3 separate regions of the Mus musculus genome follow, and regions 2 and 3 are each reported to be linked to region 1. Evidence: microRNA targets listed by miRTarBase, many of them from high-throughput screens and not tested one by one. Region 1 holds a microRNA gene; each other region holds the end of a gene's coding sequence.

The links. The annotated mature microRNA mmu-miR-301b-3p reads CAGUGCAAUGGUAUUGUCAAAGC and lies in region 1 at 4,897-4,919, opposite strand. An mRNA with a match to its seed (bases 2 to 7 or 8) in the 3' UTR can be bound and repressed. Matches are read on the target gene's strand: a 7mer-m8 pairs with bases 2 to 8, a 7mer-A1 pairs with bases 2 to 7 and ends in A, and an 8mer does both.
Region 2: miRTarBase lists Papss2 as a target of mmu-miR-301b-3p. Seed matches in the 3' UTR shown: 7mer-m8 at 5,563-5,569.
Region 3: miRTarBase lists Lnpep as a target of mmu-miR-301b-3p. Seed matches in the 3' UTR shown: 7mer-m8 at 6,194-6,200.

The regions. Positions count from the first base shown.
Region 1 is chr16:17,119,524-17,126,643 of GRCm38, forward strand. Mir301b (microRNA 301b) reads right to left here and starts at 4,973; the gene lies at 4,877-4,973. 2610318N02Rik (RIKEN cDNA 2610318N02 gene) reads right to left here and starts at 5,679. Exons shown (of 7, transcript NM_001358255.1): 1 at 5,467-5,679; 2 at 1,773-2,028; 3 at 1,433-1,556. The coding sequence starts at 1,994. It overlaps Mir130b (microRNA 130b), which reads right to left and starts at 4,619; the gene lies at 4,538-4,619.
Region 2 is chr19:32,664,273-32,671,376 of GRCm38, reverse strand. It overlaps Papss2 (3'-phosphoadenosine 5'-phosphosulfate synthase 2), which reads right to left. Exons shown (of 13, transcript NM_011864.3): 12 at 6,727-6,956; 13 at 4,190-5,951. The coding sequence ends at 5,810. Among named protein-coding and RNA genes, the nearest start is that of Atad1, 44 kb to the left of the region's middle.
Region 3 is chr17:17,523,469-17,530,572 of GRCm38, forward strand. It overlaps Lnpep (leucyl/cystinyl aminopeptidase), which reads right to left. Exons shown (of 18, transcript NM_172827.3): 17 at 7,009-7,090; 18 at 4,255-6,412. The coding sequence ends at 6,281. Among named protein-coding and RNA genes, the nearest start is that of Gm41537, 36 kb to the left of the region's middle.

The DNA of each region.
Region 1 (7,120 bases):
CTTTCGTTTCAATCCATGTGAGCTATGGGGCTGCTTCAGATTGTCCACAGCAGCTGACTAGGATTTGTCTCATGCTCTAGCATTTTTCCAGCTGTTGATAGTTTTTGCCACTGTGTGACGTTTGGCATTTTGAGTATTCTTCAGAGGATATATAAATCCTGGCCCCAAGAGTTGGGATGGACTGTTGGTGGGTTTCTGGTTGGTTGCTATTGGTCGTGGTTTAAGTAGTCATACACAAAGAAGAAATAAGAAACTGGATATCCTGATGGTGAAGATCAAGCTTGCCTCAAGGAACTCCATGCCCCTAATCAGCAGTATCTAACAATAACAATGCTCCCTTGCCTGTGTCCTTTCACTCTCTCTTATCTAGATAAAGGGTGAAAGAGGGCTGAAGGATGGAAGGGAGGGGAACCCACAAAGTAGCCAAACGTCTGGCTCGACCCTGAGCCAGGACCTACTGTGCTCTTAGGTCTTAAGGACTGCTGAGTCTGCGGAGCACAGTGGGTGTTAAAGCACACCTCACCAGCCCACTGGAAGAGTTCATTCGATGGATGTGGTGTTGCATGCCTGTAATCCCCAAACTCAGGAGATAGAGGCAGGAGGATCAGAAGTTCAAAGCTAATCTCAGCTACAAGTTTAAGGTCAGCCTGGGACATACAAGGCCTTATCAAGCAATAAGGGCTGACTAGATGGCTCAGCAGGTAAAGGAGCTTGCCACCCAGCCTGATAACCTGAGTTGTGGTAGAGCTGAGTCTTCTGCAATCTGTCCTCAGCCATCCACATATGCAGAACAGAAAGTGAGTGTGCTTGTACATGTACATACAAAGTCAACGTAATAGAAGAGCTAGAAGGATAGCTCAGTTGTTATGAGCACTCATTGTTCTTAAAGAAGACCTGGGTTCAGATCTCAGCATGCATGTCAGATGGCTAATAAGCACCTATAAATACAGCTGTAGAGAAGCCAATGCCATGTTCTGGCTTCCACAGGCACTTAAACAAACACATGGGACACACACACAAGACTCCCAGCACTATATGAAGGCAAAGAGGCAGGCAGATTTTGAGGCAAGTAGGACTTCAGAATAAGACCCTGTCTCAAATATATAAGTAGATAAATTGTGTTAATTAAGACAAATATCCTAAGGCTGAGATTAAATGTGTCTACGACCCCTCCCCCACCCTCAGTTGTCATTCTCTAAATTAGCTAATCTTGTTAGGAGGTGTTTCTTCCTTCCTCCCTTTCTGTCCCAGGCCCACATTATCGCTCTTCATTAAATCTGATCCAAGAGAGGCAAATCCAGGGCAGGGAGTGCACCTAAGATTTCACCAATCTAAGCTTGATAGACACTGTAATGTGATGGGAGGCAGAGGGGGAGCAGATGAGCTGGGCTAAGAGTCCCAAGGGTTTGCACCTTCAGAAATTGAGCCTCACCCTGGGAATACAGATGCACACGATGTATGCGCCTCTTCAGCTGCTCCAGGCGCCGATGCATCTCTATGGCACCCATGTCATTGCACTGGTTTAGATCCCCCTGCACAGCGCAGACAAACTTCGCCTGCAATACGGAGGAGAAAAGGCGGGAAGCCAGAAAAGAGTCGCTTGCCTGCTCCTTCCTCAGGCTTGGTATTCTTGGCTTCGGAAAGACCCCTTTGGCTGCCCCAGCCAATAGATAACCTCCCCATTCATCCCTCAGCCAAAGTCCCACCCTCAAAGATCCTCCCTAGTTTAGGGAGTTAGTGGACTTCTGCTGCCCGCTGCCCGCAGCTCGCACCCAGAGGCTGCAGAGGAGCCCGCGCTGCTCGAACTCAGTCTGCTTGCCCTTCCGCACGACTCTCTCCGCCAGTGCTGGGTTGCGATCCAAGGTGCGGAAGAGTCGTCGCAGTGCACGCTCTGTGTAGGTCGCTGCTTGCCTCTCGAAGTCATCCTCGGAAATGAGCTGGCAGAAGGTCACACTCAGGGGGAATTCGTTGTCGAACTCATCCAGGACTTCCATTGGAAATGGACTGCTGGTGGTGGGTCGATGCTACCTGTGGGTAGAACGACCGTCGGGGCAGGGCTCCTGGGGCAGGGAGACCCTCCCGAGGGCCAGGACTGAGAAAGGTGATGGGAAACCATCGGGATGAGGACTGCAGGGCGTACCCACTCTCTCCCTACAGCCGCAGTGCAGACTCCAGATCCCCAGACTACCCACCCCCCTCCCGGTCTACCCCAGGGAATGAATGCCCACAGAGACAGGGGGCGGGTCCAGCACCAGTACGCGTAACAATGCTCACTTCTCTAGGCATGCGCATTGGTGTGCTCCCCACCCCACCCCGCCCCCACTGCTCCACCCCTCACTGTGACCGCCAAAGGCACCCAGGTACCTTCTGGATTTTGAGCTCCTGGATTTTGACCTCCTTCTGAGCCGTGGTCCTTTCCGTTTCAAAGCACCCAGCCCTCTCCCAGTTTGCAGTTCCCTCCATACTCTGCCCTACCAGACCGCCCTGGTAATTGAATCTACTTTCCAGTTCACTAAGATAATATCCAAAAGGACTTCCTTCTGCCCCCCAAAGGGCTTTAGCTCTGGCTTTTGCACCCTCTGAGTTTCCTACCTACTCGGAAGCATTACACACATCCCTCTCCAGATCATGTCCTGACCACTTCTTTTGCTTGTTTTTTGAGACAAGGTCTCCTATGTAATTCTAGCTATATTGGAATCCACTGTAGACCAGGCTGGAACTCTGCCTCCCAAACAATGGGATTAGAGACTGCATGCCTGCACCCATGACCACTTACTTGCTCTATGTCTTGATGTCCTCCTGTGGCCTCTCCTCACACCTACCTCCGCTACCTTCCTCTCCCTCCCCTCCCCTCTGGAGTGCTAGGGATTAAACCCAGGACCTTGTGCATAATAGGCAAGTGTTCTACACCCTGAGCCAATTCAAATTCACAGAAGTGACTTAGCCAACCTAAATCCTTTGCGGCCCAGACCTCCCCTGATATGTACATGTAAGATATGTAAGATATGCACATGTAAGATATGTAAGATATGCACATGTTAGGATTCCTAGCACCTCAGGATGGATCTGCTGTGGCAACAGCTGCTGACACACGTCTACCCTAGCCACAAAGGAGTGTGGTTGCTTCTTCCCCATCAAAGCCCTCCGTCAGGCCTGAGACTCATTATGTATCAGAGCAGTCCCCATGGGTGCCAGGACTTGTGGAGCTAGAGTACTATTAAGGCTGATTTTCTCAATCTATTCCCAAAAGGGAATCTGGAAGCCTGGGCCTCCTCTCAAGGAGGCAGGCCTGACCACCTCCTACTAGGTTTTTGTTTGTTTGTAAAAGAGGGGTGGGTGCATTGAAACAGGGCTTTACCATGTAAATATAGCTCTTCTGGAACGTGCAGGGTAGACCAGGTTGTCCTTGAACTCACAGAGATCTACCTACCCATGCCTTCCCTGTGCTGCATTCAAAGGCATGGGCCATTGGGTCTTGCCGCTAAAGGTAACTCTGCAAGCACACTAAGGATCGGGCATCCTTAAAAATTCAGCTCCAGGGCTGGAGAGATGGCTCAGTGGTTAAGAGCACTGTTCTTCCAGGGGTCCTGAGTTCAAATCCCAGCAACCACATGGTGGCTCACAACCATCTGTAATGGGATCCGATGGCCTCTTCTGGTGTGTCTGAAGACAGCTACAGTGCACTCATATAAATTAAATAAATAAATAAATAAATAAATAAATAAAAATGAGCTCCAGCCCTGTCTGGAAAGCAGACATACCAGACACCTCCATGCCTCTCCTACTCAGCACATACCCTCTTTGTAAAGGAGCAAGCAGACATGGCTGGCAGGCCTACTCTGCAGGCTTCTTGTTCCAAGTCCATCCATCTGGCCCAGGCAGGACACTTCTTCTGAGCCTCAAGGTGTGAACCCAAGGTGTGGTTATCTCAGGAAAGGCTGAGTCCAGTTCTTCCCGAGGCAGTCAAGGCTAAGCAAGGTATACAAACCTTTTCCATACAAAGAGGTGAACATCTGTTTCTCTCCACAAGGTCCTGGAGTTCCTAGTTTTGTTTTGATTCTTCAGACAGCTTCAAAACTGAGACAATCTTCCTGCATCAGCCTCCAGACATGGGCTCACCAATCTTTCTTTCTTTTTTAATTGATTAATTAATTAATTAGTTAATTTGGTTTTTCTCAAAACACGGTTTCTCTGTGTATCCCTGGCTGTCCTAAAACTCACTATGTAGACCAGGATGCCCTAGATCTGGGTGATCCACCTGCCTTTGCCTTCCAAGTGCTGAGATTTAAGGCATGAGCTACCTACCATTCACTCACCGCCGCGCCCCCTGCAGCAGACTCCCCTATCTTAACCTGGGGGGAGGGGGCTAAGAGCTTGAGACTGGAGCCTTTCCAAATCTGGGGTCTCCCCTTTGTACTGGTTCCAGCCTTGGAATATGGTTCTCAGCATCCACCTTATCCTTTTAGCTAGAGATAGCTATCTCTATCTAAGACTATGATCCAAGCACTGACCCTTTTGTTCCTCAGGCTCCTTAGCTGGCCCGACAGATGCCCTTTCATCATTGCACTGCTTCCCAGAGGCCCACAGTAGTGCAACAGGGAAAGAGTGTCCAACAAGCCTGTCAGTCTCACGGGGTGGGGCGGGGCATGGGGAGTTGGGGTGGCTGGAGTGGGATCTTAGACCTAGAACGCATGCCCACCTGGGCGGAGCCTCGGCCTGAGCAAAGGATGCCCTCTGACCCCAGAGACACGGGCCTGGCTACAATCTCAAGTTTCCATGGAGAAGAGAGTAAAATGAGCAGGGGGAGGGTACGGCCTGCAGGCCTGAGGGGCCAGGCCTGGAAAGGGAAGAAAGAAGGAACAGTAGGTGAGGTGGTCTTCGAGGCTGGTCCCAGATGCTTTGACAATACCATTGCACTGCTTCTCACAGCACAGTAGTGCAACCTAGTCAGAGCACCCGCAGCCAGCAGGAAATCCATCGCCCTCGCTGCACGCAGGGCTGCGCTGGAAATTCAACCACCATGGGTGGGTGGGACATCTATCCAAGCTCGGAGAACAGACGGGATTCCAGCCCGGATGCAGTCCTCTGGACTTATTAACTTCAGGGAACTCAAACTTTCTCTAACAGGCTTCTGATTCTGGTGAGGTACTCCAAGGAGGGAGCTGAAGGGCGAGCACCCGAGGGGGCTCAAACACAAAGGAGAGAGGCCTGCGCTCAGTTGCAGAGGGGAGCACAGTGGGACTACTTGTACCCTGTTTCAGACCAGAACTAGAATAAGAGGGATACTTCACTCCTTGCACGTGAGGCCCTTGGAGTCCGAGATCCGGTCCTTGGTCCATTCCCCCAGTATGAGTTCTGCACTCTATCCTAACAGATTCTCCTGCCTAGAAGAGCAGAACTAGGGCTTCCTGGCATCTGGAGTTTCCCTGGCCTCACCGCACACCCTATCCCAGACCAGTTACTCACGTGGACAGACACCTCTTGTTCTCACCAGGGGGACAAGGTGAAGCTTAGTGGAAGATCCAGGTAGGCGGCGGCCCCGTCATATCTGGACAACCCCGCACCTCAGCACCTCGTGGCGCCCTCTCTCCCTCGGCTCCATCTTTAACCATCTGACAGTCCCGAGGGCCGAGCCCCGGGCCTCAAGGCACAGCGCCAGCCTCATTGGCTTGCGCCTACACCAAGCTTTGCCTCCTGCGCACCTATTGGCTGCTGCTGGAAAGATTTCAAAATAGCCTCCAGGCTCCGATTGGCCAGGCGCCCGAGTTTTGGCTCCACCGTTTTAACAATGAGTTCTACAAACACTTTCTCCTCATTCATAACTCTTGAAAAGGAGCTCTGTCCGCCTTTTCCCAGCTCATTTCTCTGTAGTTATTATAGTGATACTCATGAGGGCGCGTCCATGCTTACTACACAGCTCACCAAATTAGCGAGGGCTCTGAGATCCCGGCAAAGTGTCCTTTGGCCAAGCCAGCGGTTGAATGAACCCCTAGGGGATGCTTCGTATTTCGCGAGAAATTTGTTCATTGCTCCTCCAGGATGGGACATTTACTTAAAAACCGTGGCCTTCCCTCTTTCTGTCCAACTTCAGAGCATCGTCATCAGGAAACCTCTGGCTGGGCTGAGGAGGCCCTGGCACTTTTTGTAAGTGAAGAAATGCTCTGATGTCATTGATGTCATTGAGAATGTGAACCACTTTATGGGTAAGAGTTCATTAAGTGACCTTTCTGAGCTAATATGTCCAAAGATACACAGCACCTAGCACCCAGAACCTGAGGTGTTCTACTCAGTTCTGTCAGCGAAGGGAAAAACAGAGTTTTGCAGCTGGCGTCTGAGCTTTACCCCTAGTTATATCCATATGAGACAGGGAATCTTTACCCCCCAGCTCAAAGGCTGAAAGAAAATATTTTTAAAGCAGACAGAGCTGGTTTTCGATCTTCAAGAACTCATTTTGTCCACTTAATTTTAAATGTAATTTTTTGTGTATGGGTGCTTTGTTTGCCTGTCTGTACCACCATGTACATGCCTAGTGTTCAGGGAGGTCAAAAGGCTTTCTATCCTCTGCAACTGAAACTATAGAGGATTGTAAGCAAACACATGCATGCTGGAAATGAAACCCATATGCTCTGGTAGAGCAACCAATGCTATTAACACTGACCCATAATATCTCAGTCCCTACATTGTTTTGTCTTCTTTGGGAAAAAAAAGAATGCTGGTTTTTTGAGACATCGTATATCACGGCTGGCTAGTTGAGAACTCACAGAGTAGACCAGGCTAGCCTTGTGCTTATGGTAATCCTCCTAGGTTTTTGCAGTACTGGGGATACAGCCACCACACTGCATCGCTCCACACAGATACAAAATAAAACATCCAGAAATTCCAACATTTGGGAAGTGGAGAAAAGAGCCAGAAGTTCAAGACCAGCCTGAACTACATGAAATACTGTCTTTAAAGAGAGGGGGCTCACCAGAAAGAAGGCTCAGTGGTTAAGAGGGTTGGCTGCTCTTCCAGAGGACTCAGGTTCCATGCCCAGGATCCACAAGTTGTCTCAAAGGCATCTGTAACTCCAGTCCAGTATCGTCTTCTGGTCTCTAAAGCCATTGCATGCATAGACATATGG
Region 2 (7,104 bases), not on the chromosome of region 1:
CATGAGACTCTAATGCCTCTGTGAGCACCTGCATTCACATGTACACATACACCTACCTACCCACACACACACACACATACACACACACACACACATACACACACACACACACACACAATTAAAAATAATAAATCACAATTAAAAATAATAAATCTGTTGCAATCATATTTAAGAGGATCTGATCCATATGAAACAATCTAACTGAACCTACTAAAGTAGCTAAGAGTTACCATGTAAATGAAATCAAATCAAGAAAGTCATTTCACAATGTTAATTGAAGACATGCTGGCAAACCTGGTAATTGTTACAACCGTTTATGATAGTAGCCAGTGAGAGTATTACTAAAATTCTGATGGGGTGGTTTTTGTGGTAGTCTTAATATTTACAGTTCTAAACCTTTTTTTTTGTGGAGACTGAAATGATGGCTCAGCAGTTAAGAGCGTGCATGCTGCTCTTCAAAGGACACAAGGTTCATTCCCAGCACCCAGTTCCTTCCCGCACAATTTTCTGACATTCCCATTTCAGAGACTCCAAGGCAAACTCCTGGTGCCTGCAAGCAGCCATACTCACATGATAAACACACATAAATCAAAATTTTGAGACTGGTTTTAGATAGCTTTTGTGCTTTGAACTAAGATGAAGTGAATGTTAGTGCTATGTTGTGGGACACATAAAAAACATGGGTTTGGAAACCATGACAGTTCAGGTGTTTGTTTTTGAGAGAGGGTCTCCCAGGCTGTCCTGAAACTCCTGCATCAGTTTTCCTAGTGCCTGGAGCCTCAATGGCCACCATGATGGCGCAGTTCTAACCAAACACCAAAAAGAATTGATAACGGATATATAAATGTGTAATCAAGACATAATGTAGACCACATTGTTGTTTTGGGTTTTGTTTGTTTGTTTGTTTTGGTTTTTCGAGACAGGGTTTCTCTGTAAAGCCCTGGCTGTCCTGGAGCTCACTTTGTAGACCAGGCTGGCCTCGAACTTAGAAATCTGCCTGCCTCTGCCTCCCGAGTGCTGGGATTAAAGGCGTGCGCCACCACGCCCGGTGGACCACATTGTTTTAAAGATGCATTAGATTTCAGAAATCAGATACTCTACAGATAGCATATGTCATTATGCCTCTTCACAGGCACATCTAGGCCTTAGTCAATCTTAGAAAGACTACCCAACTAGGATTCTGTTGGCAGCAACCAACTGTAGATAATCTAGAAAATAATTTATTTGAAGCAGGTGGGATGCCTGGCCTCAGAGGGGAGCTGAAGGAACCGATCTAAATATTGAGCTCCAAATGGGTTTTATTTTTAGCAAAGATTGCTCAAGGCCTTCTATTATTCCTTCATTGGCCTTCAGGAACTTTGCCTGTTGTTCTGAGAACTCCTTGGGTTATTAAAATAGATGGCATTGAGTATAGGGGTCTGTTGGAGACATTGAGACTAAGAACAAAAGGAGATGGGTAAATTCATTCTAAAAACTTCTGGAGAGAGTGTTGGACAAACTAGAGTGGCAGTTAGCCAGCTGACTGTGAACCACAGGTAACCCAGTGGGTGTGCAGAGAATGAGAAGGGAGCCATTCCTGTGGACAGGCTTCCAAGGGCTGGTGTGTGGGACCCTGCTAAGTTCTTTCGCTTGGAGTGCTATTTACTATGGCCAACTCTGCCTAGGTAAAATAACTTAATGTTTTTATACTAGCTGGCTGATACAAGAGAGCTGTGGAAAGTGAAACAAAACACAGGTTTTTGTTTCCAGTGAGTGCAAGACCTTTCCTCTGACAAGAGTAAAGGGCAGATCGTTGCCTGTTCCAGTCCTAGTTGCACTGGACCTGTGCGGTGTCTTTAACTGAACAAGTTGGCTGGCTTGGCTGAGCCCCTACTCACCCCGATACCAGCTTTTCCATCTTGTTTTTTGGAGCTGGGAGGAGTTTGGGTTCCACCTTCAGATGCTTGTCGCTTTCATTTGTTTTTAATTCTGAAAGGTGGAATCCAGTCATCTTGAGAACATACAAGGCATCTAGACCCTTTCCTGGCATGTTCTTGACAAAATTCAAAGTAGCGGGATTGTAGCCTAGCGGTCTATTTTTGTAGGTGTGTTTGCCCTTGCAGTTTGTCCCAATAAATACACTGTTGTCTTCAATCTCTCCTGAATTACCCTCATCTTTGCAAAATATCCCTGGCAGATAAACACACAGATCCTTCCTCCATTCATACTGGTCTACTCTCTGCACTAATACTGCCAAGGTAAGGCCAAGCTTACCTCTGAATGGCTTACTTCTCTCCAAATGAAGAGGGTTGGCTTGTTTTCTTTTGGGTTGTTTGTTTGTTTGTTTGTTTTTTGTTGTTTTTAAAAATTGTTTTCCCCACTCTGATTTGCTAGCCTCATAATAAAATAGTTTTTTTTTTTACCTCTAGAACCTGGCTAAAATGTTCAAATCTAGCAAGTAGCCCATTTGTTTTTACTAATTTAAGTAAAATAACTTTGGAATGCATATAGTGAACCGTTTGAGTGCCATCTTCGTTTGGTAACTGTTCTGTGCGACCCAGTAAAAGTATTCCCCAAGGAACTATGTTGATGCCAGGGTTGGGAAAGATCAGCATCCCTATACAGACGGTCTCTAACTGCCTATTAGTAGACAATGGACATTTGAGTCATTCAAAAGCTGCATCGTCCCCTTAAACCTTTAGGCACAAGAACAACTAGCTCGTCTGTTAGATTCACTGGTTTCTTGCCTGGAAGGACACCTATGCAGAATATAAATGCTTGCAAGACTCAGATGCCTCATAGAAAAGTGGGAAATGGGGGAGGGGAATGCAAACTTGCTGTTCTTGAGGAACCAAGATTGTTTATTTGCAGGACAGATGGGTTAGAAAGAAATATTGGGGCCTGATAAATACTGATGGCCTTAGTCAGGGTTTCTATTCCTGCACAAACATCATGACCAAGAAGCAAGTTGTGGAGGAAAGGGTTTATTCAGCTTACACTTCCATACTGCTGTTCATCACCAAGGAAGTCAGGACTGGAACTCAAGCAGGTCAGGAAGCAGGAGCTGATGCAGAAGCCATGGAGGGATGTTCCTTACTTGCTGGCTCTCCTGGCTTGCTCAGCCTGCTCTCTTATAAAACCCAAGACTACCAGCCCAGAGATGATCCCACCCACAAGGGGCCTTTCGCCCTTGATCACTAATTGAGAAAATGCCTTACAGTTGTATCTCATGGAGGCATTTCCTCAACTGAAGCTCCTTTCTCTGTGATAACCCCAGCTGTGTCAAGTTGACACATAACACCTGCCAGTACACTGATGTAAGGTCTGACTGATTGATTTATGTATGCTTTTCCAGGATTTGTTTGCACTTCCTTAAGAGTGACACATGATCATAGACATTTCTTGGACTTGTGTACCCTACTAATTGATAATAGGAGTCACCAACTATGATCTGAGGAGAAAACAACAAAGGAACTACAAATGATACCATTCACTCATTTTTTTTTAATTAATTAATTTTTTTTTTTTGAGACTGGATCTTATGCAGCCCAGGTTAGTTTCAAACTCACTCCATAGCCTAGGAAACATTGTACTTCTAATATGCCTGCCTCTACCTCCCAACACTGGGATAAACAAGTATGTGCCACTGTGTCTGATTTATACAGTGCTGAGAATCAAACCAAGGCCTGTGTGCATGCTAGGCAAACAGTCTACCTGCTGAGCCATGACTCAGCACCAGGTGATAGCTTTGCATTGGCGATTACACTACTAATATTTGTGGTGAAGTAGCAGAAAACTTGCATGATGCCATTAGAAGTACATCAGGCACTCAGGAAGAAGCAAGAGCTTTGTGCCTAGCGGCCCACCTTCCCCCAGCATGAGAGTGGAAATGTACTGCCTTAGGCACACAGAATACTGGCTGCTAAGGAGGGTCTGAAGATAAGATCTATACCTATAAGAGCAAGGGCTTTGGCTTCATCACCTTAGATTGTCCTGCAGTGAAATTCTGGGTAGAATTTCATAAGTAACCCAGTCACCTCGGAGAAGCAGGTGTCCAGCTAAGACTATGAGTCATTTACATCTGAAAGTCAAGTGTGAAAATGATGTGAATAAGGGCGCCTAGAAGAGAGTAGATACTGCTCTCCAGTTAGACATTGCTATGACCCCCTGACATGGCCACTGAGGCAGTAACCAAAATCACCAGTCAACGTGGTCTTTTGAGAGATTTATTGAATAAGAACAGGTACCAGCGGGACACTGAAACAGTTATGCTGTGTGCTACAGCAGAAAGGCACTCTACTGTCTTAAAATCACAACTTCATATGCTAAGAAGGCACTACAACCCTGTCACGTTTTCAGTGAAGACATAGTTTTAAAGGCAGCAGTGAATAAATAGCTCTGATGTAAGTGAGCACAGGCGCCATACAGTCGAAGACTCACTTTGCTGTGGTCACAGTATATAACTTACTCTCAGTAGAGCTTTTCCTAGCATTTTTAAAAAACGTGGCAGTATGAAAAAAATCAGTTTCTCTTTTCAGTCTGTGGTCTCTTCCAAAGAAACCTGTATGTAAAGATGCCTTTTCTCTTATGTATTTCTTGGCAACAATGAACCATGCATAAAATACCAAAATTCCCTCTTAGCAAATAAACCATCAAAGGACATCTCACAACAGGTTCATTCTGGAAACTTATAACATCAAGAGTTTGGGATACCCTAAACCTTCGGTCTCCAAGGTGGTTGCTTCTTAGCATCCTCAAGGAGAGCTTCACTAAGTAGCTTCAGGAAATCGGAACCTCTTCCTGTGTTGTCTAGGGTAGGCAGGGCCCTAGCTTAGGAGGATGGTCAGTCTTTCAGTGTCGGCAGTATTCACTAATGTCAACTTTGTATATTACAGTGCTCAGCAGCTCTCAAAGCTTATGTGTATATATCTTCACTAGGATGATGTTTGGATTTTATCTTTGCTACAGAAATCAAGTTTTAGCTTCTCATTAATAATGTGGGTTGGTTTTGATTACAGCGATCACTTAGGTGCTTCTATAATAACTATGGCCACAGCAAAGTGTGGGGAAAGTAGTCTACAATATACCCTGGTGGTTTAGTCTGGGGGGGGGGTTGTTTTGATCCAAGCATACCATGCTTTTGAAAAGTGCCAGCCAAACTAGAGTAACTATTCATAGAAGGCCATTAGAGCGTCTCTCTCTATTGGATGATGACATTTTCATGGCAGACATAAATTACATTGTTCTTTAAGACTTAATTTACATCTTCACATGAATTTTTCTTCCAGTTGCATCTTCAGCTCGTACATTGGGCAGTGATGGTATGTGTAGTTATGAAGTAAGAGTCCTGATATAACACATTTCCTTCAAAGCGACAGTGTGTGTGTATGTATATGTGTGTGTGTGTGTGTGTATGTATGTGTGTGTGTGTGTGTGTGTGTGTGTTTTCTTTTGGTAAGTGACATTGAGATTCCAGGCTGGCACAAGTAAGCTGGAAAGTATGATTCTGTTCTGGGCTAGTCAGCTAGCCACACAGTTACATTTTTAAGAAATCTGAGACATAGTGGCTGAGATGAAGTGTACAGTGCAAATGCTTTCATTCTGGAACGTACAACGATATTGCTTTCACCTAAGACTCAGTCTCCAGTGTGAGCTTCATAGACATAATGAACTTGGTTTTAAATTATGGTTACAGCTTTTTACTTCATTGCAAAAATACTAGCTTTAAAAAGTCACCGAGAAGCAATTGGATACAGAGCAGCTAAATCACAAAAATAGAAAAAAAAAATCGTCAGAGAGCACTTGAGGAAGAAGCCAGAGCCAGGAGCACCTAGTTGGTCTTCTCCAGAGACCTGTAGTAATCTGTCAACACTTTCCACGCTTTCGGGGCCATGAAGCCATCTGGGGGATCTTCTCCTTCCCGGGCGAGCTTCCTCATGCGAGTTCCTGAGATGAAGTCAAACTCCTCGTGCCTGTCAGTACAGCAACAGAGAGTTCAGCAGAGGGAAGTAGCAGCTCTTTAAAGATCCCTGGGGCTACATTGCTGATTTTATTTTGCATTTTTTTTCTTTTTTCTGTAAACAGCCAAATGTTTTAAAATGGGCAGTTGTCTCAGTCTTTAGCTCCGAATCTTGTGGAACAAAGAAGGGATAAAAGCAGGTGTTTGCACAGTGGTTCTTGCACACCTCTCTTTTATATCTTGAGGCCAGAGATTAACTTGTTGTGTGAAGTTGGTATGGAACAGACATGTGCCATAAGTGCTCATTGAAAAGCGTCTCTCCCCATGTCCTTTCACTTAAAGGTTAGGTGTTAGGTGTCTACATAAGGCAGATCTATGGAGTTTCATATAGCCTAGCCTGGCCTAAAGCTTGATGTAGCCAAAGATGACCAGCCTGCCTCTAGCTCCCTTGTGCTGTGACTGTCGGCATGTAGCACTATGCCCAGCTCAAGAACTTTCTGTGGGGTTCCTGGAGATCAAAGCCAGGGCTGTGCAAATGCTAGGCAAGTATTCTGCTAGTAAGCTATATCCATCGGACCAAAGAGAAATGTTTACAGACCAACACCTACATGCAGAGGACTCTGCCAACAATGTCAGGGGACACAGCATTTGCAAGAGCAGGTCTATAACTCAAGGGTGTCTTTCCCATTGGAAGCCTGTAGACTGGAGACTTTTTCCAGAGGGTCAAAGTTTTCCCTCATCAGGACAGTTGTCATGTCAATTAATTTTTTTTTTCTCCAGAAACCTACCTTGCTGGATCATAAAAGTCCATGGCCTTTTTAATTTTATTGTAGGCAGCCACTCGGAACGGAATTATTTCCACAGAGGTAAGGCCAGGGGCCATACTCAAGACCTTGCCCCCGTGGGTGGGTTCATATAGGTCTTTCTTTGTCTCAGGATGGGGCATTCCTGCGGGATCCCTACCCACAATGTAGAAATTGGCTCCTGCAATCATCCGGCATCTGCAATGCCACTGGACCTGGAAAATATCACATAGGGGACATGATGGTCAGGGGTTCCTCTTTATGCCGATTCTTTTAATTTTGCTTTTGAAGTGACTGAAAGGGGCAGGTCATTTAAAAGTAGTGAGGAAGTCTGTGAGTCTAAGCCTCTAGCACTATTCAAGC
Region 3 (7,104 bases), not on the chromosome of region 1:
TAATTTTCATGATGTTCTTTACAGTTAGGCAAAGGGCTGAACACAAAATGAAATAAAAACATGACAACTTTATATTAAGAATAGTCTACTATCAAAAATATAAATCCAAAACAAGTAAATAAGACACAGCTGCTTTACTCACTCTTGCCAATACTGGCATCCAGGGAAGGGTAGAATGGGAGATACGTCATACACTGATCCTCAACTTTGATTAGGTACTCACCTATCCATGTAAAGGACTAGGGGCCTAATCAGTACCATGAAAAAATATATTTTAAAATCATGCACTCACCCTTTCCCCTAACCACTACCCACCTAAGCAATCCCATTCCCACCCCCTAAAAAAAAAAAACCAAGTTATAAAAGTATTGCCTCTGTAGGCAATGAGGAAAAGGGAGCAGGGGAGAGTTATCATACCTCTGGACCTCAATGTTGCATTATGTATCTACAAATTCCAGCAAAGAACTGGTGTTATGTGGAATAATATACAGAATATAGCAATATTATATATACATTAAAAATATATAAACACCCAGACCCCCACAAAGCAAACAAAAGATAAGCAAATAAAACATCTAGTCTACCACTGCCCACCAGGCAGTGAGGGATAGGGACTGTGGAGAGTTTTCATAGAATCAATCTCAGTGTTCATTAAGTACAGAGTAAAAATAGTCGCACCAAGGACCACGTTCAAAATGAAGTTAACACCACAAGGCATTTACAATCATATATACATATATATTATATGGTTACCTTTTTCTCTAACAAGCTATGCTATAAGCAACAGACAAAACAAGAACTCAAGCCTTATAGTACGTATACACTACTGCAATATGGCACAGGTGACAGAGAAGGGGCAGATGTTCCACACTTCTGGGCATAGATATAGACTCTTGGTTTGTTTGATAACACAAACACAGATTGAGAGTGAAAAACTGAAATAACTGACAGACTTTTAAATACATCCAAAAAGGTAAAAACCCAGAACTCTTCTCACCCTACACCCCCATGCCAAAGCTACACAACTACTCTACAAGCCATTGCCCAGACAGGCAATGAGGGAAGGGAAAGGGGAGATTTTTCATAGAATGAACCTCAATATTCTTTATGTACCTAAGTGTCCACAAATAGATTTAGGTACAAATGAAGTAACAACAAAAAGTTTAAAAAATTTATATTTACATTTTAAAGTATATACATACTTCCACCTACTGGGTGGAAGAGAATTAGAAAATCTATGCTATTCTACAGCTATTGCCCACAGAGGCAATGAGGAAAAGGGAAAAGAGGAAGTTTTCATACATCCGGACCTCCACGTTTCATTAGGTACTTAAATGCCCATGTAAAGGATTCAGTACCAAATGAAATAATACAGTATAGTAACAAAATTATTTATATTTATAAAGAATATATTTCTCGCCCTTAGTCCCCAGTAAAGCTAAGAGAAAAAAAAAACCTAAAAAGAAAAGCCTACTCACAGAGATGGAACAGGAATGGGAGGACACTAAATTCGGAGCTCCACAGTTCATCAGGACAGGCACCCAATGAAATGGCTTAAGTGATTAAGAAGCAAGAGCACCTAGGGACACACATAGGAAAAGCAGATGCCAGCTCCTCAGCCCCCAGGAGCAGCTCCAGGTCACTGTCAATGCTACTGTCAATGATACTGCATGGCCAACATAAGGAAGAAACCTCTTGGAGAGATTTCTAGCTTTACTCATAAAGCCATAGAAAGGACAGGGAAAACAAGGAAGGAAAAGCACAGCGACAACACGTTTGTACACCTGAAAAGTATACACTCTGCCTCCAAACTACTTTTCCAGCTTAGCAAAAACCAACCAACCAACCAACCACCACCAGAAACCCAAACCCAACTTTCAAACATTCAAAATACTTTTAAGAAGTATTGTACCGAGGCAATAAAGGGAAAGAGGGCACTGCTGTACATCTTAACTCCATGGTACATTGGGGATCTTCCACTGTGATCACCCAGAGAACTAAAGCAATACAGTAGTAAGAACATATATACAGACATTAAGTACATTTCCCTCCATCTTCCACTCAGATGGCCAACAGGCCGTAAGAGGTGAGAGAAGAGAGGACTGTTCACATGTAGTCTTCCACATTTCATCAGGTATTTTCACATATGTTTGAAGGGCATAGAACCTAATGAATCAGTAATAAAAGGCCATAGCAAGCACTATTCTACTCTCTTCTACAGTTCTTGCCTTAAGAGGCAACAAGAAAAAGGGAAGAATCAGTCATTCTCAATCACCATGGTAATCACGTGCCTATGCAGAGACAAGTCAAAGTGAAATACAAGTGGCACTGCACTTACAACATGTTTGAAAGGATGAGCGACAACCTAAGTTCCTAAGACTAGAGCAAAACAACAGGTACTATTATCATTCTGTTATTGCCAAACATCTGTGTGTCCTTGCATGGCTTATGTACATGTCCACAAGAAAAATGTATAGAGAGCAGCATTAAGTAAGCGCCAAATAGCAGCAAAACTATTTCTACACACTCTTAAAAGAAGCTACCTTGTTCCCCTCTTGAAACTCACACTGTTTCAAAACTTAAATTATTTTACAACTTTGCCTATAGTAGGCAATATGGGAAGAGGAGAGATTATCAGAAAGCAGTACTTCACTCTTTCATTAACAGGACAAAATTTATAAAATATAAAAACATCTAAAAATACATGTATATGTTTCAAAATATGTATCAACACTAACACCCTCCCCCCACGCCCCGCCCAAAAACCTCTACAACTCTCTAAAGGTCAATAACTTACTCTACTAGTTGTTGACTAACCGGGCAATAAAGGATGGGGAAAGAGTAATCTGTCATACTTTGGGACCTCCATTTTTCATTTGAAACTTTTTTGATATTTTAGAGCTTTAAGAACAAAATAAAAGAACAAAAACCCCAGCAAAAATATATACCTGAGTTTCAAGAAATACAAACATGAGAAGACAGAACATTACCAAAAAAGAAGAAGAAGAAGAAGAAGAAGAAGAAGAAGAAGAAGTAGTAGAAGAAGATTTAATTCCACATAAACAAAAGTAAGGCAAAGGTAAGAAGACCTACATTATACCCATGGTCCCAATCCTTAGAGGCTATGTAAAGCAACGCATTCCTAGATGCAAACTCATTGCACTCCTTGGCAACAGAGCACCTGAGACAGACCGTGCTATCCTAGAGCCCACACAACACATGGTCTCTATAAGTGCTCAGCAGTCTGGCTGAAGATCATCAGTTCAGGTTCTTTAGATTAAGTAACCATCTTTACAATCCAATTTAACAACAGACTAACAATCATGCAACAACACAGGACTTAATTTTAGTTTCTTGCTTCGCAATAATCAGCAAGAATTGTTGGGTACCCAGTAAACCTCATGCAGCTGGATTTGTTTGTTTATACCCAGGACTCTTCTGGCAGCTTTTGCTCCAATGGTGGCTAAAATCTCATAAAAATAAAAACACATATGGCAAAGAAAATTAAGTAGAACCTATGATAGCAAGAAAGTCTTTGAACACTCTGAAACAATGACTAATACAATGAGACAGAAGAGAGCATGAGCCTCTGGGGTGGGGGCATGACCACTACTTTATTATATCTAATGTCATATTAGCAGAGGAAACTTGTCTCCTCCAATTCCCAGCTTTAATAAACTCTCAGATCTCCCAATCGATTCTTTTTCTCAAGTCTAGAATTCCAATTCTACTTTTCCTAATCAAGACGTACCTTTCACATTGCATTCAAGAACACCCCTTCTCTGTAGTGATCAGAATGCTCATTCAACTGCTACCCAAAGCTGTCAGGCATTTTGTGTGTTTATGCCCAAAGCACAAGCTGACCCCCCGTGCTTCAATTTTCCTTCCTAAAAGTACAGAGAGAAGAATTAAATCTTAGAGGAAGGAAATTTGAATGCTACCAACATACTTCTTAGACTACAAGTGCCACCTCTCAGTCATACAGAACTGACTTTGAGTTAGCTAAGAAGCTGTACATAAACGAGCTAACAAAGCATGAAAACGTACAGAATTCTGGGGGCAAATTAAGAGGCCTACCAAAATTTTTTAAAAAGTCAGGTGAAGGTTATAGGTAAGACTTAAAATATGGCTCCAGCATCCTGGGAACGAGCAGCTACTAATCGCACTGGATCAAGGATTACCTCTCCTTAAGCCCATATCCTCATAAGGCTTTATCTACAACACAGCACACCACAAATATTCACACTCATACATGGAAAAAAAGTATTATTTAGGACAAGATTTGCCATATGCAGAATTACAAAGACTATAAGATCAACAAAAAGATGGGCAGGTAAATCTCAAGGTTGAACTGATCTTGAGAAGTAGCAAAAGTTAAACTCTGTTATCAAAGTATAATCTAGTAATACAGCATGGTAAAAAATGAAAAGGGACAACCAAAACCCACAAGAGTATTTGTCCTTCACTCTAAAAATATAAAACCCTACTAACCTTCAGTATCAACACAACTGTCAGACATTTACCAAAAATACAAGGGGAATAGAGATCTATAATTACCTATTTCACTAAAATAGAAAGATGATTCTATGATTCTCAGGAATAACAGTTTCTACTAAAAAAAGCACAAATTAAAAAACAAACAAACAAACAAAAACCCAAAAACTGTTTAGAAAAGATGAAATTGGGAGCAAACTCTAGGATTAAAGCAGGCTATTTTCAGCTTGTCAGCCATTAAAATTTTATTATATAAAAATATTCTCATAAAATAAACTATAACTTTGTATATAACTCCACATATTCTAACTTTACAACAGCTGAATAAAAACAAGTGGCCTCTCTATGGTCTGACTCTGTGGAGTGTTTTCAGTGTTCAGAAATGAGTGATTCCCTTTTTATGTACACAGACACTGTTTTCAAACAAAATATAGACTTCTCATGAGTTATTAAGAAGAAAGCTTCTCTCCTAAGATTCAAAGAAACACAACAATCTAGGAATAAGTCTGCATAGCTCAAAAAGTTCAAGTACAATCCTTCTCCTTCAGAAGGAGTGAAAGCGCCCACATTCTGCTCTGGGTTCCCTCCCTCCCTTGTCCTCTGCTTGATTCTTGGCCACTCTGTTTAACGTAGTTTGGCCATGATAAACAAACAAACAAACAAACAAAAAACCTGTAATTTTTTCAACTAAATAAAAACACTGTTTTTAACAGTGAAAAAAAGAATTCATAGCCCACCATATTTTCAACTTCCTCCTGCTCCACATTCTCATTATTCCTTTAAGGTATTATGGTGAACTTCAAAATAAAAAGCTTTAATTTCTTGAAGATCCTATTTAAGAAATGCTTCTAATATACTCTGTAACATAAAGTAAAACCCACACATGGGTATGATTCACAGAGAAGAGGGTATGATTTGTAAGGTTCAAACAGCAACTTAAACAAATTACATTCTTGGGTGAAAGTAATGACAAAGCCACCAGCGCTCACAGAAATCCTCCCAAGCATGGCATGGAGTGCTCCTCTACAGGAGAAATCCTCCCAAGCATGGAGTGCTCCTCTACAGGAGAAAGCTGGTGGAAGGCCTTACCAGGATACAAAGTTAGGGGTACTGGAATTCATGAGTAAAGTAATTAATGTTAACTCAGTTCAGAACACTTCCTACATAGTGTCATGAAGATGAAGCAGAAAGTGTTAAATATTTGGAAAACTGAAACTTTGAGCCTGACTGTTCAGCTGTTCAATTTAACAGAAATATGAAAAAGTCTTTAGAACCTGGCTATTTTGCAGGAAAAAACTGGAAACTGGACAAAACTTTTTTTAAAGAACCCCCAATCAGGTCATCTGTCTAGAGCTGTACCTTCAATGTCTTTGCCACTGCACTACCAAACCCAGGTGTATCTATTTAACAAAAAGCAACAAACAGTTGATCAATCAGCAACCTACAAACACAGTGGTTCTTACAGCAGACCTTCCTTGGTTGCACTGTAACAGTAATACTCTGGACACTAAGAAATAAAACAAAATTTCAAATCTGACTTTTTTCTCCATTTGTGTGTCAAAGAAAAGTTATTCATTGTTATTGTAGATGGATGACATACAGGTGAATATAATTTTGTAATAAATAACTACTGCCTAAAGACATTTCAGAAAAGATATGAAAAATACAATTGGGCCCTGAGCTAACTAGAACTCCTAACAGTGCAAACAACTCAGCAGCAGGCCGGCCTTCACTCAACCTTTGCGAAAGCAGCAGAGCCATGGGCGCCGGAGATCAGCTGTGAGTGCTACAGCCACTGGGAGAGCGTTTTCAGATTCCTGACCATCCACTGGATATTCAGCTGAATCACTTCCAAAGCCTCCTGAACACACCGAAGCTTCAAGGTTGCCTCTGACTGATTTTCAAAGAATGCCTGGACCTGCAAATTCCACAGAGAAGTATTTTAAACAAAGAAAGGCTGAGGCTCCCTGATTGGCCATTGGAAATAAGTTTTAACTGTGTGATGGTGGCTCAAAGGTCTGACACCTGGGAAGTAGGGGGAGTATGGTAACATTCAGGAACAGCCTGATACTTTAACACCCAAGGTATTTGCCTCAACCAAGTGTGACAATATCTGAAGTGATCTTAAAAACAAAGGACCCTTTCCTTCCCTGCTCGTGCCTCTACTACTATGTCTATATGTCTTCTTTCCTTATTTCTTAAAATAGAAAAAGAACTCCGAAGGAAAAGTCAACATTAGGCTTGATAAATAAATCCACATTTTTGAATGAGATTCCTCAAAATAATTTTATTCCTACTTAAATTATTTGTATTGAGGAAACACCAAGTAGTGCTGAGAATGGAATTAGAATTTCATCTCCTTGCTATACATGCAATCACTTAAAAATAATCTCAGTGTGGAATCATTAGAATTGGTGAAAGAAGACAGAGGGACTAGAATTAGCACGAAAAGCCTCCACGTCACTTCAACAGAGGAGCCTTGCATTTTTCCTGTTAGCATTTTGTACAACCAACCTCAGATAAATGTGTCTTTGTTGAAAATAAGTGAGTAGATCCAGCAACAATACTTTGTATGGTATAGGAGCCCAGATGGAACCTGAAGAAACACAA